Struthio camelus: one gene and its partner. The protein of the gene in region 1 purifies or fractionates together with the protein of each later gene. This does not show direct contact. Links are inferred from orthologs where the notes say so. Each region holds a gene or a part of one and is shown on either strand. Other genes may lie near its edges. The genes, in order: LIMK2 and TTC1.

Region 1 (8,102 bases):
GATATATGCTGGTTTTAGGTTGAGAAATTACAGAAATGCTTTGGCTAATTTGTGGCCTTCAAGCAAGAACTGCAGTTCCTGGTTTCCTTTTTCTCAAACTTTTGGGTTGCTCTGGGAAAGTTGCTACTGTGTGAAACACTTTACAACCAGGAGAACTAGGGAGGTAGGTAACAATAGCGTGGCAAACTGAAAGTTGTCAGACAGCATGCCAATCCTTCAGCCTTAGGAAAGAAGCCAGCAAGAGGGAACGTTTGTCTGCAGTTTTGCAAAATGTTTTTGAGATATGTTTTAAATGATTTGTAGCCTTTTTTTAATCTTCTGTTGCTTTGTTCTCTGCAGGGATTCCAGGGCTTTGGGTTTGGGGATGGTGGCTTCCAAATGTCATTCGGAATTGGGGCCTTTCCCTTTGGTATATTTGCCACAGCATTCAACATAAATGACGGGCGACCTCCTCCAGGTACTGTGCGTCCTACCTTCTAGGAGAGTCATATCATAAACAAATGTTTTACAAACTTACTTGTGACTTCTAAAAAAATAGCCTGCTAAGTGACAAAATTTCACTTTCTGGTGAAATAATTTCACTTTTTTTTTTAATTAAGAAAAAACAGTTCAGTTACTTCAAATAGTGGTCTCGTTCTCTAAAAGTTGTTTGGTAATCCCCAGAAACACACCTCCCTATCAGCACTGTAGGAATAACTGAGTCTACCTGTTTCAAACGAGAAAACCTACTGCCCAACGTTTTCTGGACTTCCTGGGTGAAAGGTTCCACCTGGTAAATTTACTTCACTCTATAATATGGGTTGAGGATACATTGTGTTTTGGCCTAGGAATTATGAGGAAAAAACCAGAAGGTCATTCTTCATGTCACATGTGTATTGAAAAGGACCTGTGTTGTCCTTGGGCCAAATGAACTTGCCTATCAGCTATACTTTGCTTTGCACTGAAAAATTGTGTGGGGTCTGCCTGAACTGAGGGGTATTTAAATGTGTGCTGATATACAGCCATCGTTTAACCAACGCTTTTATCTGCTTTTCATCTGGGGACTCAATACAGCAGTTCCAGAAAGGTCCATCCAGAGCTTTAAGCTTGTGCGCTTTTCATCAGTTCTCTTGGTCAAGGCTACACACGCAAGTTTTGACTCTGTTACCATTTGCATATGCAGAGAGATGTATTTCACCTTGAGGGGGAAGGAAGGCTGAGGCAGAGGTTGTAAAGTTCCTCAGGATGGAAACACCTGGCAACAATGAACTTAGCTCAGCTTTGTCCCCAGTACTCTGAACGGACTTGTCCGGACTTAGCACTTGGAGCTGCCTGCTCCTATTAGTCATGAGCAGGCCTACTGCCAGTTCTGCTCTGAGGAGCTGATGCTTCTCTTCCTTCTGACCTTCTGGCATGGCTAGGCAACCCAAGGATAGGAAACCTTGTCAGCAACAGTTTTTCTGCAGGTGGATTTCTTGCGTATTTTTCAACTTATGAATGTGCTATATGCAGAATATACAATATTCTGGAGAAGTTGAAAGAGCTGAACTGTTTTTTTTACTTCCTGTTTTCCAGCTGTTCCAGGGACTCCTCAATATGTGGATGAGCAGTTCCTATCCCGCCTCTTCCTGTTTGTGGCTCTGGTGATAATGTTCTGGCTGTTGATTGCATAAATCTTTTCCATTATCCTGTATATTCATGGCCAGCGAGGCCTCTGAAACAGTTACAAACTGCATCCCCTTCCCATTTTAAACCTCTTGGTGTCTGGTTCCATAGCTAATCACGGGTTCCAGAAACTGGTGGTACCACAGCACAATGAAGAATCTCGCGTTTTGCACCAGAGCTGGAAATTAAACATTGGTTTAAAAGCATATTTCAGCTCAGCTATCTTGTACAACAGGTTCCTGCCACAAACCATGGGGCTAGCTTTGAGCTCCACTTCTAAAAGGAGTGCTGCTTTTAAATCCTGTGCCAATTAGTTACAACAGGTTTACTTGAAAGACAGTTGCCCCAAGGTAGGCTGGGCAGGTAAGCAAAGTTCTGTAGTGTGATCTGTATCTCATGTTTGGCAACCACGATGGACCAGCTGGAGTTGCGGATGTTGTTTGATGTCTTCACATCAACATCTAGCCTTCTTCAGGAAGTCATCTGCAGCACTGCTGAGACTCCTTGGGCGTGACTTGTGATGCAAATGGAACCAGCTTTGGAGAATGCTTTCTTTTCTTGCTGTTATTTGATGGAGTGATGGAAAACTCCCTGCTGAAGTGGTTCCAGTGGCTGTTATAAGAAGGGATACAAGTTTATGCTGCAGTTTCTTAAAACCTGCATTTGCTGGAGCCAGACACTGGAAGATGCTCTCGTCGTGGAGCTGGCTGGGGTTGCCGAACAGTACACACACCTGTCTGCCTCACCCAAGCTCAGTTCCCCGCTGACAAAACAGTGTTGTCTTCCTTGGTTCTTCACAGCAGTCTCTGGCTGCACCCATGGATAATCCCCTCACAGCCTTGTCACTGTAGCTACATTTCTTTTTCCTAAGGCTGTGAGACATTAAGCAAGATCATGTACTCCAAATAAAATCCTATTAACAGATCTGAGATCAGCTTTTTGGGGGAGAGGAATGAGGGACATTTTAAAGTGAGCTTTGAGGTTAAACTTGTCATACTGTAAAATTATGCAGGAGGGGGAATGAAATCCTACCTTTGCTAGCCACAGTGGGGAGCATTTGGAAGAGTTTCTCTGTACAGATGTGTAAAGATGCTCTGTGCCACAACAAAATGGCTATAGCGCAAGAGTCATTGCAATATCTACCAAAGATATTCATTGGAAATAATGGAGGAAACTACAACCATTTCTGTGCTGAGGGAAAAACGTTTCAGAAGGTGAGCACACAAGACTAGCCTTTTTGGAATCCTGTTGGGTACATAGCTTTAAAAAGTATTCCTGATGTATTTGTGTAGATTCTTTCAGAACAGCAGCTATGAGGGATTCCCTAGCAAGATGAACAGTTTTGATTTTTCTTCTGACTAGGCAATTCCAACTTTTTTTTTAAATTATTTTTAATTATTTTGATTCAGATCACTGATAGTCATAATAATTTCCTGCAAGATGAATATTTTGACTTCCTTGGCAGTTGACTGACAGCTGACAAAACAAATCAACTCATAGAAGCCTTGTTTAAATAGTTAGGCTTTTTCTCATGCATATGGATGAGGTTCCTGGGCAAGGCACCTTGATTAATTGTTGTGCAAGCTAACTTCTGTAATTATAAACTGTTCACTGAGGTTTAACTTGCCCGCCTCCAAAATTCCACGTGGCAAGTACAATTTTGCAAAGCTTCTGCAGTGTTTTGCCACATCCAGTCGAGTTTATACCTGACTTGCTGATAATCTGGCAGAATATCTCTCTCAACTATAAATAGCTGAAGCAATGCTTCAACTTTTGTTGTGTGGCACTTTTGAGAAGCTTAACTTCTTTTACATCTGCTTCTTCTCAAGTGCGTAACTCGGGAAGTAGGACCCTTTCTAGGAGAAAGGCTATTTATTGCATTCCTACAAGCAACCGGCCATAGTTTGTAAAAAACGTCGCAGCTTTGACGGGCTTTCGTGAGCAGGCAGCACCACCTGCTGATGAAAAGGAAAAGTTCTCGTGGTTGTACAAGGGAGGGTTTTCCTTCTCCCCGAGTACCGAGAAACTGGGTGCCGAGAAGGAGCTGCGGTTACCCAGGAAGGAGTAGGGTATCCCTTTAAAGCCTTTTTCCTACAAGGAGGACGGAAAAGTAACTGTCGTAGGCTCAAAAGAGGTATTAATCGAGATTTAACTAACACTTATGTTTTAAAATACAGAATTTTTAATGGTTTGGGGGGCGGGGTGTTGCCATCTACTGGTGAGAGAAGCAATGGCTTTAGACTGAGGTGGCTGCAGAAACATGACTGAGAGTCCTTAATTTCCAGGCAATCCAAGAATGAAATAGTCTAAAAGTGTTAATGCTTTTGTTCTTACCTTTCTCTCGGTGTGCTTTTTGTATTGTAGCACTTTCCCCTTGTACTGAGACCGCACGCGGCCCCTAACGGCTCGCTTAGTGCGTCACCGTTACTGTTCACTAATTTTCACTGTTGTGAAAGTGATTTAGAATAAAAAAAATGGTTTTACATTGACCTGAGCGTCTTGGGCCTCTCTGCGCGCTCCGCCGGGGGCCCAGTCACGGCGGCTGCGCGGGGCGCGCGCGCCCCAACGGCCGTTGGTCGGTACCTGCCGCCGGGCGGGGGAGGGGCGGCCGGGCCCGGCGGCGGGGGGCGGCGGGGGGCGGGAGCCCGCCACGCCACGTGGGGGGCGGGGCCGGGGCGGGGCCGCTCCCTGATTGGCCCCGGCCGCAGGAGGGGCGGGCCGCGCCGCGGAAGGGGCGGGAGGGCGGCGGGGGTTGGTCTGCGGCCGCCGGGAGGCGGAGCGGCGATTGGGCCTGCGGGGAGGAAAAGGGCGGGGGCGGGGCGCGGCTCAGGGCCGTAGAAGCGAGGAAAGAGAAGTAGCAAGAGAAGGGAAGGGAGGAGGGGGTTCGCGCGCGAGCGCGCGCGCGCGCACCCGGGCCAGGTGCGGTGTGACCTACCGCGCGCTCCGTAGCGGCTGACGTCACGCGCGGGCGAGCCCCGGGGCGGCGGCGGCAGCGGTGATGGAGGAGCTGCCAGGTGAGGCGGGGGGGAGGGCCGGGCCGCGCCGCGCCTACCGTGGGCGCTGAGCGCCGCCGCCGCCGCCCTGCCCAGCCGCGGGGCTGCCGCGCCGGGCTGCGGCTCCCGTCAGGCGGTTGGGCGGCAGGTGCGGGGCTGCGCGCGGCCCCGCCCGGGCCCGCCCGCCGTCCCCGCGGCTGCCGAGCCCGTCGGCCAGGCCGGCCGCTGCCTGCCCCGCTGCTGCCCCGCGTCCCGGGGGAGGTCTGGCCCGGGCCCCGGTGCGCCGGGCTCGGAGAGGCGGCGCGGTGTTTGCGTGCCCCGAGGGTGGCGGGCTGCGCGGCTTCGCGCCGCCGAGGCCAGGCTGTCCGTCCCCGTTTCCTGCTCGCCCTTCCTTAGCGTGGTTGTCCGCCGGGACCCGGCGGTCTTGCTCGCTTTCCGCTCCCTTGGTTGCGGGGGCCTGGCAGCCCCGCTGCCGCCGGAGGGCGGCCCCGCTGGTCCTCTGCCGGGCTTTGCTGCTCGGCGGGGGGCTCCTTTCGCCGGCTTGCCGCTGGCCCTCTCTGCAACGCTCCTCCCGGCCTGCGGGACTTGGCAGACCTGTTATATTGATTATGTCTCTTTGCTTTTCCTTCGCGCTATTTCCTGCTCTGTTTTTTTTTTTTTTTTCCCTCCCACTTCCATCACTTCTCCTGGATGCCTAAGGAATTTCAGTTGAATATAGCGTTATTCATTTCCTTTTGTGGGCTAATCAGCCTTCCTGGATGCAGTTAAATTTTTCAGCTTTGCAGCTGGAAGATGACTAGTGCACAGAGTTTAGAAGTGAACTTGTAAAGCTGTATGATCCTTGTGGAGGAATGTCTGTTGCTTTTAGTTAGCAGTAGTGTAATAATTGGTCCTTCAATTTCTGGAAACAGGTTCTCTTTTCTGCTTTCACATTTGTTTCTTCTGCTCCTGGCATTAAAGGGGGGACGGGGGGGTGGAGCTGAGGGATGTGTGATTTGCAGCCTTACTTGGCTGGTAGAGTGGCAGGAATTCCAGAAGTAATTCAGCTGGCTTTGAGGACTTGTGTTACGTTACTTGGAGAGAAGTGCCCCTGCTCCCTGCCCGTTATGTCATGGGCATACGTGGACTTGCCTTTTGTTTCTAAGCCTGTTGTAGTGCACTGAAAAGCATTTCGTTTTACAGAGGCACATGTGAAGTAGTGCAAGCTTTAAGCTTTTTGTAAGTGTCTCCTAACCCTCTTCCAGCAGTGGAGATCTGAGCTCAGCTGGAATTCGCTGTGCTCCAGATAGCAGGAGGGAGCAGAAGCATTCCCAGGTATTGAGCTGAAGTGTTCTTGGGAAATGAAGTAGCAGCTTATGCCACATCTGAATGAATCCTGTCTAGCACTGTAGTCTGCATAGAGACCTTTGTGGGTACTGCTCATCCCCTGACAAGGGTGGTGCTTGTTTGTGCTTGAGCAACAAGTCCTGTCACTGAAACAGTTATCTGTGAAAATGTACGAGGACATCTTCAGCCTAGTTATTTTTAAGTGTTGTTAACTGACCCACGCAGTGGGGTAAGAATGCATAGAAGTCTAATGACTTATGTTTTGTGTAACTTCAAGGAACTTGGCCTCAATACCTATTAATGTTTAGAAAGCTATGTGAGCAAGGGGAATTTACTGTACCTTGAGCACCTCTACATAGTCTATGCTGAGTATTGAGCTTTTATTTTAATCACTAAATCTAGACTTTTTCCTCCTCTTATCTTTACTTCTCTCTTTTGGTTCCCTGCTCTATTTGTTTTAAGCTCTCCCAGGTTGTTTACCCTAGCATTTCAAGGTGATGCTTTGCCCATCCACATTGCGGTAATCATAACTACTATGTCACGATACGTACTGAATACCGCTTCTCTGGTTGCTGTCACAGGGGCTTTCATTAACTAGTCCCAGAGCCTTTTGCAATATTGATTTGTTACTGGAGCACTGAATATTGTGTGTGTGTGTCTCTCTCTCTCTCTCTCTCTCTCTCTCTTTCTCTTTTTTACTATTATTCTGATAAGCCCATAACCTAGTAGTTCTGTGTCTTTGAATTGTATCTGTTGGAGGTGGTAACGTTCTCTCAGTTTAAACCATGAAGCTAAAGAGAGACTATGAGATAAATAAATCATCTTCCCTGTGCAACTGAGGCTGGGCTTATAAATGCTAACCTGTTAACCTTCTACGGCTTTCTTCTCTAGCATCATACAGCTGACTGTGTCTGCTGTAGCTGGGTCTTTTCTGGAGAGTAAAAGTTAGCTTGGTTCTGTTTGGAGTAGGCATTTGAACCTTTTTTAAACTTGACTTGGCCATTCAGAGTCTGGGGAGTAAGTGAAAAGTGTAACCCTAGAAGTAGTGTTGGCTTTTTCTGTACTAGACTTGCATATCCTGGGTGGTTTCTAGCCTGTAGATTCTATAATAGCTGACATGAAGTTCATCTCACAAATAGCTAATGGGTAGGTGTTCTCCCTGTTTTATGTGAACTTACAGAGGTGGTAACTGTAGGAAAATGATTGAAAAGGATTTGGTCCGTTTAAGAGCTATCTTGTATCTGTATAAGTTACAGGGTGAAGTTACAGAAGGAAGCTGCTTGCATCTGACAGCTTACTGCTTGCAAGTGTGCAACTGCACCCCGTTGCAAATATTTGATACTTGCAATTGATCCCAGAGAAAAACTGTCTCCTTTAATGTATGCTTTAGGAAGAAGGGGTAATTGAGTGACTGCTGAGTTTTTCTGTTCTTTGGAAACTGGAAGTCCGTGGTTAGTGGTTTTCCTTCTCTAAGCATGCTTTTTTCTTTATGCAACCTTGCTGCAAGTAAACCTCTAGTAGCAAGAAGAAACAGGTTTGAGATCTGCCCAGTAGCTGTGTAACATGTTTCTTGCACCATCTTGTGCCCATCCAGATCCTTGGTTCTTGCTTTAAGATAGTACTTGTATCTGTTTGGATTCGGGATAGCATTTATCTTTGTACAAGAATCTTCATACAGTTTTTCTAGCTTGTATACACCTAAAGAACTAGCTGTCTCAGGGGCTTTATGGCACTTCTAGCAGAAGCTATTATAGTTCTTGGACTAGCCACGGCTTTTTCTGAAGCAATAATAGGCCAATAGCATATGCCCCTCTCCCTAAATCTGGCTCCAGTCTAGTGTTCGTTGTACAGTCTCTACTGGAATATCCATTCAAGTGTGTAATTCCTTCCTGGTAGTCGAGTTGTCCTCTGCTGAATAAAGTTTGCCTTTCCTTTCTTTCTGTTCTGGGAAATGCAGTTAATTATACAAATGAGTGCAAATGTTATGTGCTGAGTCAGTGGCATGGGGGAAACAGTAGCTTGACTTCCTGGCCTTGCGAAAAATAATATTGCTTTCTTCTGCAGAATATGAGGAAGCTGATGGTGGTGTGGGATCTTGGGGGGAGGGGGGGGGAACAGAGGGGGAAGTAGTACATTAAA
Region 2 (8,877 bases), on another chromosome or scaffold:
GCTACTCCTGCAAAGTCTATGCATTCTGTGAAAAACACGAAGCATGTACCTGCATTGCTCAATGACAGGCCTCGCACTGGCTCTACCATGTGAATCATCCGCTGTAAATATTAGTATTTGAAAATGCCTGAAGACTGCAAAATTCAAATGCTTATCTTTATAGTCTCTGGCTGTTTGAATGCAGGGCTTTGGTTCAGTTTACTTGCAAAATTTAAACACCTTAACATCTTTTATATTGTATGAAACTGGAACGGTAAGAATGAACAATTTTAGGATCACCTCAACATTTCATAGGAAAATACAAATATTTTTGAGGTACAAATATGAAACGTTCATTGGGTAAGCAAGGTCAAAATCGGAATAACTCACAGGTCATGGAAACAGTTAAAGAAATAATGCAACTTTCTGGAATGAAACACTAGCAAATTATTATTCACCAAGTCAAATGTAATACATGGATGGGTATCAGAAATCTTTAAGAGAGAATGTAAGCTGTAGCTGGTGGAAGAGAGCTGCTCTTATTTACTTAAAAAAAAAAAAAAACACCAAAAAAGCCCCCAAAACCCAGAACATTGTGTTTCAAGGGTGATTTTTCAAAGCATAGGAACAGCTTTTTCAGTACGTTTTGCATGCTCAGCTTTCATGTTTATGCATGTAAATCAAGCAAATGAATACACAAATGAAATCCAGTAGTAGAGTGTCAGCCAGTGTGTCCCCGAGGTCACTGCAATTATGCATGTAGATTAGATGCCTCCTTGTGTGCATAGCTGTCTTGAAATTCTGGCCATAGATATTGAAGCTAGAATCTCCCAGTGCGAGAATTAGTTGCCAGGTATTGTTCTCAGGATCCTGTTTGTTCAACAGAAAAACCAGCTAGCTTGCAATATTTAAAGCTATTTTATGCCGATTGTTATATTTTATGAACATTTTAACCTTTGAAATATTAGAAATAGCAATTCTGGTTGTCTCTGGTCTTGTCAGAAGATGTTTTGTGTTAAGTGAACCTAAGGATATGAGCTATGAATTCCAATAACTTCATCTAAAGAGTAGAGTCATTTTACAAAATACTAAACACACAAAATAGAGAGTAACTGGTATGAATTTAAACATAAGTGGTTTTGACTAAAATGTCCTACTCTTCCCAGTTGCCTTCTTGTCTTCTGTAATAGTACTCACAGTTGTAAAAGGTAGATAGAAATCCAAGTTCTGAATCTTAAAAGTGGTGAGAAATCCTGCAGAAAACTTTCATGTCAAAAAGAAACAAAAGAATGCACTTTTTTTTCACACTGCTTTTTCCTATGCTTCAAGTCAATCCAACACTCTCCAGTTACCGCAGTCTTTTTTTTGGTACGCTACACTGTACTTGCACCAGCTGATCATGCCAGATAACACCATCATCATGAGGCTGTGGATAAAGGAAGAAATAGGAAAAATTTTGGAAGCGTAAAGAAGGTCTTGCTGGAGGAAAATATGGATGGAGATGCAGAATCTTTCTCTAACTTTACCTCTTCAGCTTATGCTTGGCTCAAGAAAATTGCTGAGGTATTAAAGCGTTCCACTTCAGGTATGCGGTGACCCTGGATTTTGCTGTGTGCTTACCCTGGGAGGTAAGCTCTGTCAAGACAGTGAGTAAATCTCACGAATACAAACTAAGGCTTCCATAACCAAATTCTTATCCAAACACGTCTACTTATTCGGGATTATATGTTCTTGATTTTTTTCAACAGGTGTTCAGTTAAACAAACATCGCTGCTCTAAAAAATCCCTTAGGACGAAGAAGATTAAACAAATGACACCGAGATTCCATTTTTTGTATATATACAAGCTTTGGCTATTCATACACTTCCACTTAGAGCAATGAATTAGAGGTTCTAAAAGACTGATTAAAGCTGTAACGTGTTCTGTGTTGGAACGAGTGAAATTTATTGGTAAATCTGACAACTGCCCTATAACCTCTGGGGTAAGTGATTCTTACTAAAAAGTTTATGTTTGAAAATACTGTAAGAGAGCATGTTTATATATTTTTCAAACATTAAGTAACCTATGTACAAAACACTTCCATGAAGAAAGTTAGAGTGTAAAGGAGGAAAAGTGAGACATACAGTGCTAAGTTAGCACTGGGGAACCTTAAAGGTTGAAGTTACACGCATCAGTTGCATCGACAGCTAAAGGAGGTTAGAGTAGTCTCTGGCTCTTCATTTGGTACGTGGAAGATTGGTTCCCTGATGGTGGCAAGAGAGCTCTTTGGTTCTTCTGGTGGGTGTTTAATCCCTGAATACCAGTGCAGTCTTTGGGCTTTTAACTCCTGTTGCCACATACAGGCCTTTCCACAGGAGGGACATTCTATTCAGAGAACTGAACTGCTTTCACTGAACTGCAGCTTGCTCAGGGCTAACTTCGGGATGAACCACCGTACTAAACAGAGGCCAAGAGGCTCAAAGGTCACTCCTCTGAAAAGGGCTCCTGACGACACCCCGATCTTTCATGGAGTAGGACGATGGGAAAGATGGCCCTTCTTGCTAGCTCTAGAGAAAAGCTGCATTCCCTAAACGAAATCAGGGAATTGAGTTCCTGGTGAGCTGCAGCATTTTCCCTACTTTGTGTTGGGAGAAACATAGTGCTGACTAGATTGCAATTAAAAAGTTCAGGGATCTCTAAAGCGTTTCCAGATCAGAAGAGACGCTAGCAGAAAATTTATTTGGTAAAATCTGCTATTTTTTTCCACACACTTCTTCATATGAAGCGTCAATGAGATGCTACATTTCATCAAATGTGAGGAACCCTAATTATAACTGTGCTGATAAGGAAAAATTGCCAGTCATTTCAGTCCAGCAGCCCCACAGCAGGGGTGCCAAAGGTGACAGACAGATTTTGAACAGTGCTCAGCAGGGCTGGCTAGGGACTGGAGTTAGGAGCTGCAGCATTTCTGAAAAGCAAACGGAGTTTGGGGCTCTGTGGAAGCTAGAAACTCCTGCCTCACACAAAGGCAAGACAATACCTTGCCACTGAGCAAGGTATTTTGAGCAGCAGCTCAAAACTTTTAAGTAGTGCCACTTTGAGTTTTTACCCGCAAACAAACTCTTGTTTGCTAAAGGGAAATACAGGCTGGCACACCACCCTGGAAGGTATTACTCTTATCAGTACAAGTCTTCTTAGGTGTGAAACCCTTTATCTTTCTCAAACTCCCATGCTCTTTGCACAGTCAGAGGAGTTTTAAATAACATTTCAGCCAATTCAAACCTGCATGGCTTGATTTTGTACCATGGCTGTAATCTCGTCCTCTCTTTCCCAACCAAATGATATTGTATAGGACAATGTGAGGGTTCAGAAATATCTTCTGTAAGTCAGAATAAATTACACAGTCCTAGCAGAAGAACAGCAGAGAAGTACATTTTTGTGGGCTAAATCATTGCAGCTGGGATACTGCGGAACACTGAAACCACTTTTTTACCCAGAGAGGGGAAAAAAAACAGCTTTAGGGCTCCTGCTTGCTTTCACTGTAACTAGCCATTCTACTGCCAACTTACTGTAAAGTTTCAGTATCTAATACCCACATCCATCCTTGGCACCAACAGACATTTGAAAGATCTTCGTCATTTTGCTTGACGTTAAAGCTGTTGAGGTGTTATGGAATATACAGTAGGAAACATTCATTTAGAAGCATTGATCAAACAAGGTAAGACCAAAAATGAATCTAGCTCTTCAATTGCTACCTCAACTTTGAAATGCTGAACATCCCACAAGCCCTTCAGGCTTGAACTGAAGCTTGACGACATCACTGAGTGGATTTTATTTGGACGACAGGATAGATTTCAAAATATTTCTAAAGATCCACCCCTTCCCCAAGACTCTCATATGGGCTAATTACATTTCAGTACTCTAGTGGAGTTTTGCCAGATGTGTTACTGCAGTGATATTTTAATAATGGTGGCTGGTAACTCCTGAAAAGCTGACACGCTTTTAATAGTCTGTCCGTGTATTTCCGCACAGTATGAGAGGGAAAGGAGGGGAATCTCCCTCTGAATAAAAGATGGATTACTGTCAGTTTTCAAGAACCTACGTTCTCTTAGGATAATCCTTGACCACTTCCTACTATGAGAATAGATTCTGCCTAAACAGTATCTGCAACGGCCTATATAGCACATGGGCTTTTTGATTTTTTTGTTAAATTAGCTCTGCATAAAACATTTAGAGCAACATTTGAAACTTGATTTTATCTTTCATCAGAACTTGCTTACTGAAAAACTTTTCAGTATTTGTGAACCTTTTAGAGCAATAAAAACCTCTTAAGATTATTCCCCAGCTGTCCTATTGTTTGGCATAGAGATTTATGTGCTGCTTCATGTGATTTTAACTCCAAAAGTCCAGAAAATTCAGTTTTGCTTTGAGATTTGGGGTTAAACAATTCTGAGGTACAGAATGAATGACTACAAATCAAAATGAAAGGGAGTTTTAGTCCAGTACTTAGCTACATCGCAATTGAGAAACCACATCTAAGGCCCATACTGAAAACAATCAGGTCAAGACACTTTAGGAGCATCATGCACACTAGAGAGTCTCCCTCACTGGATAAAGAGATCATTAGATAAAGTACAGGCCACGGAAGCAGCAACTGCACTCATGTCACAGATACGTCACTATACATATGCTCCTCCTTTTCATCCATCTAGCGAGATTTGCTTCTTTATTATCCTCTCACATTTGCAGCCTAACGTTTCCTTCCAAGCCAGGTGGCGGTGGCCTGGGGGCACTGCCCACCTGCGCCAGCCCCAGCTGTGCCCCGTCCCTCACCCACCTCCTGCCACGGCTGCACTGGGGCAGGCCTCTGCCACCCCCGGCACCTCCTCCCCCTTTAACTACACCTGATGCCTTCAGCTGCCCCTGGGAGAGCAGCACCCAAGACCCCTACAGCCCACCCACCCGCGCCCCGCCGGCGGGAGCACCCCCTCCCCCCCAGCCTCAGGAGAGGTGACCCACCCGCAGCATCCCTCACTCCGCCCGCCCCCGCCCCCGCGCATGCGCGTGGCCCAACCGCCCTAACGGCGCCCTCCCGCCGCGCGCCAAACGCCCCGCCCTGCGGCTGGGCCGTGGCGTCGCCCTCTGCGTCACGCCTGCCCGCAAGACTACAAACCCCAGCAACCCGCGCGCGGCCCTCCCCGATTGGCCGGCGCAGGCAGGAAGCGACCTGCGGGGTGAGAGGGCAGCGGGGCAGCCGGAAGGGAAGGAGCAGGTCTCTGCCGGCGGCTGTGGGGGGCCGGTGGGGGGTGGTGGGCCCGGCCCGGCGGGGCCATGGCAGGGCGCAGGTCCTTCGTCTGCCCCGCTGGGGCGGGGGGCGGCTGAGGCGGCCGCGGGGCTCTGCCGGGAAAGGCTGCCCCCGGTGTGGTGGCCGGGCCGGGCCGGGGGCAGAGCGCGGAGGTGGGCGGCGCGGGAGCCCCCTGCCCGGGGCAGAGGGCGAGGCGCGGGCGGGCGAGGTGGTGCCCAGGGCGCTGGGAAGCGTGTGATTTCAGGCCGTGCGCGAAGTAACGGCCGGAGCGCAGAGCTGTGCTGTGCCTGTCTAGGGAATCCTTGAGCGAGTAAGTTGCTCGTGGAGTAGTGTAAGGGCCCCACTGAACGCTACGGTGATTTGGAGAGGCACGTACTAGTTTCTGCATCTCCTGAAGGGATAGCAGTTTGCCTGAGGTGATGCTGAGAGTAAAATTTTAAGTACTTTGATGTTCATTAATTGATAAGGCTTTATATTACTCTTATTGAGGGTTATTTCTCTCTCATTTCTAAAAACCTGACTCCTCTAAGGTGTCCGACATGGAAGAATTTAAAGATTCAAGGCCATCTGAAGAGTTACTCCGTAACTTAAAGCTTTCTGATCAGAAGTCTTCAGAGAGCACCAGTTCTTTGGCAGCTGGCCCCAAAGGTGCACAGAATCCAAAAAACCTCAAAAGTGAGTGCATACCATCTTCAGCCAAGGAGCCCACAACAGCAGATGAGTGCTTCCATGACTGTCATGACTCCTTTGAGGCAAAAGAATCTGAAGTGGATGGTGAAGGAAATGTACAGAATGATGAAAATAGCTCAAGGAAGCAAACAGAGCTAGATGAAGAATACTTACTAGAACTAGAAAAAGATATGCCAGAGGAAGAAAAACAGGTAATACAACTTACTAAAGTTGAATGCAAAAAGATAAATTTTCAATGTCACTTGTCTGAATGATCTGTGACCTTTCTGGCATAAAATCCAGCATGTAGCTGGACCTTTAAGACTTCTTAATATGCTTAGTTTTACTGTTCTTAAATTCTTGGTTTTGGTAACAAATATTTTTGTTAGCTGTCCGTACTGTTCTTAATCATTGCATTCCTTTGAAGTTTTTTTTATGTGCTGCTGGGATCACCAGTGTGTGCAGTTATTGTGATGGAAAGAGATTATAAGAAACAAACATCTCCTTATTTCAAGTTGTTTAGTTTGTGTGCATTCATTGTTTTCCCCTAATTAGCTGCAAGGTGCTTTATAAAAACTCAGAGGAGGTTTCAGGATAGTTTTGATATCTGAAAAGCTAGTTTGTGTAATACTTTCAACTTTAACCTCAATTAGCTGTATCTTTTTAGATTAGTAAGAATTTAAACAAAACCTTCAAATGTTTGTATTTTTGCTTACTTTCAGTGCAGTTACATTGGACAAAACATTTGGGTAACAAACTGGATATTGCGGTGGGGAGGAATGGAGTAGGTCTGAGAGGAAGTCCAACAGCTTTCTCAATCCTTTCTACTTCCCTGTAAGTCTGAGTGAATCAGTTTGGGGTTTTTTGACCCTCAGTCAGCAATGTCATGTGACCGTAGCTTTTTTTCAGAGTTCTAAGGCAGATATGGTCATCTCATATTTAAAAAATAGAATATTCTTTTCTGATTTTTTTTTGAGAAAACTTGTAAATCCCTTACTCTAGTGTAAGAGTGGAGTCCTGAAATGTGGTGAATTTTGCCAGAAATGATGCTCTCATAGTAAATGGTGAAATGCTTTCTGCAGGTGTATGATTCCTTTTTTTCTAATTTTTTGCAACTTATGTTTGCTAGTAGAGGGGAGTAAGGGCATTAAACTAAATCAATGTCCTGATATACAGCTCTTAGAAAAAAATATTTTTTTCTGAGTTTTGAGCAACCTACTTGTGTTAAGTTAGGAGGAATAGAATGATGTAGCTTAACCTCTCAAACAGATTGTGCTTCAAAGAACTGATTCAGCCTTTTAGAATCTGATTGGATTATCTAAATGAACAGCTATTTGTACTGAAAACTGAAATATTGATGAAAGGTGTGCTATGTCTATTCTTCAGCAGTTGGGGAAAGGTGGACTTTGACCTTTCATAGCTTACGTAACAGAAGATGTCAGTGAAATTTATTATATTGTACTCTATTATAAGCCTATGAGCATGAATTAGATCTTATTTTAAGAAAAGAAATACAGTCCTTATTGGAAGCCTGGGTGCATAATTTGGGTCACAGGTAACACACTGAATAATGGATTACGATGAGTGAAGGAGAGAGTTGGGCAAGGAATGGCAGCGGACAAAAAGGTGAACAGGGTCTTAGGAAAGCATTATCTCATAGGGAATAGCAGTGTATAGCTTCATAGTTTTTATTCTGGAAACTCCTAAACCATCAGGAACAGTAGAAGAAATAACTACTGCAATGGACAATGGAGGAAAACTACTAAAATGAAGCATTTGGTAAAAACTTGGAACTGAAGGCTCATATGAAATGAATTAAAAAATGTGCATAAAATACTATGAATGTTGGTAGCGATTCTTTAGTTAAGTTTCAGGAGATTTATAGGAGTTTATTAGTTTTTTGTGTAGGCAAGAGGATTCTTTCTTATTCATCTGACTTGGAAAAGCTGTACTGTTCTTTCACAGCTGTTGGCTAGCCCTGTCTATGTTTTAGAAGTAAATAAACGCTGGTCATCCATTGTACCAGAGAGCTGGAAAGAGGAAGAGGCTTGGCAGCAATTTTGCTATGCCATGATCTTATTGTCAGCTGCTGTAAATTGAGCCTGATGAGCCAGAAATATGCAGAGCGTAGATCCAAGAGGCACCTGAACAACTACATTGTTAGTTACAAACCAGTGTAAAGAAATGTAATCAAGCTGTTGCTCGTGTAGTTCCCTTGCTGGTAAGATGTTCTTTTGATCAAATATACCAGTGAGGAAAAGGGGAATTTTTCACCTGTATTATGGATAGTCATATCAATGTGCAAATTCCTTGAGGTGGAAAAGCAATATGGCATGGGGAGGGGAACATATTAAATCCTTAAAATAGGAATGAGACTAAGTGGAACGCTTGTCTGCTGCTTGACCTCATGGAAATGTCTCCCTCTCCCTCTCCCTCTCCCTCTCCCTCTCCCTCTCCCTCTCCCTCTCCCTCTCCCTCTCCCTCTCCCTCTCCCTCTCCCTCTCCCTCTCCCTCTCCCTCTCCCTCTCCCTCTCCCTCTCCCTCTCCCTCTCCCTCTCCCTCTCCCTCTCCCTCTCCCTCTCCCTCTCCCTCTCCCTCTCCCTCTCCCTCTCCCTCTCCCTCTCCCTCTCCCTCTCCCTCTCCCTCTCCCTCTCCCTCTCCCTCTCCCTCTCCCTCTCCCTCTCCCTCTCCCTCTCCCTCTCCCTCTCCCTCTCCCTCTCCCTCTCCCTCTCCCTCTCCCTCTCCCTCTCCCTCTCCCTCTCCCTCTCCCTCTCCCTCTCCCTCTCCCTCTCCCTCTCCCTCTCCCTCTCCCTCTCCCTCTCCCTCTCCCTCTCCCTCTCCCTCTCCCTCTCCCTCTCCCTCTCCCTCTCCCTCTCCCTCTCCCTCTCCCTCTCCCTCTCCCTCTCCCTCTCCCTCTCCCTCTCCCTCTCCCTCTCCCTCTCCCT

The links.
Region 2: the proteins of LIMK2 (region 1) and TTC1 purify together in Homo sapiens (affinity purification with mass spectrometry; 3 studies listed by BioGRID and IntAct, counting the BioPlex papers as one, with this or other methods). This does not show direct contact. The link is inferred for Struthio camelus from reciprocal best matches to the Homo sapiens genes LIMK2 and TTC1.

Annotation. Positions count from the first base shown.
Region 1 is NC_090958.1:8,182,040-8,190,141, forward strand, and holds the start of LIMK2 (LIM domain kinase 2), read left to right. Parts: upstream 1-4,454; 5' UTR 4,455-4,642; coding exon 4,643-4,658; intron 4,659-8,102. Other genes in the region: E3 ubiquitin-protein ligase RNF185, read left to right, coding at 340-457, 1,555-1,652. UniProt on the Homo sapiens protein: Serine/threonine-protein kinase that plays an essential role in the regulation of actin filament dynamics. Acts downstream of several Rho family GTPase signal transduction pathways.
Region 2 is NC_090954.1:14,187,954-14,196,830, forward strand, and holds the start of TTC1 (tetratricopeptide repeat protein 1), read left to right. Parts: upstream 1-5,168; 5' UTR 5,169-5,230; exon of another isoform or gene 5,231-5,679; intron 5,680-5,793; 5' UTR 5,794-5,802; coding exon 5,803-6,144; intron 6,145-8,877.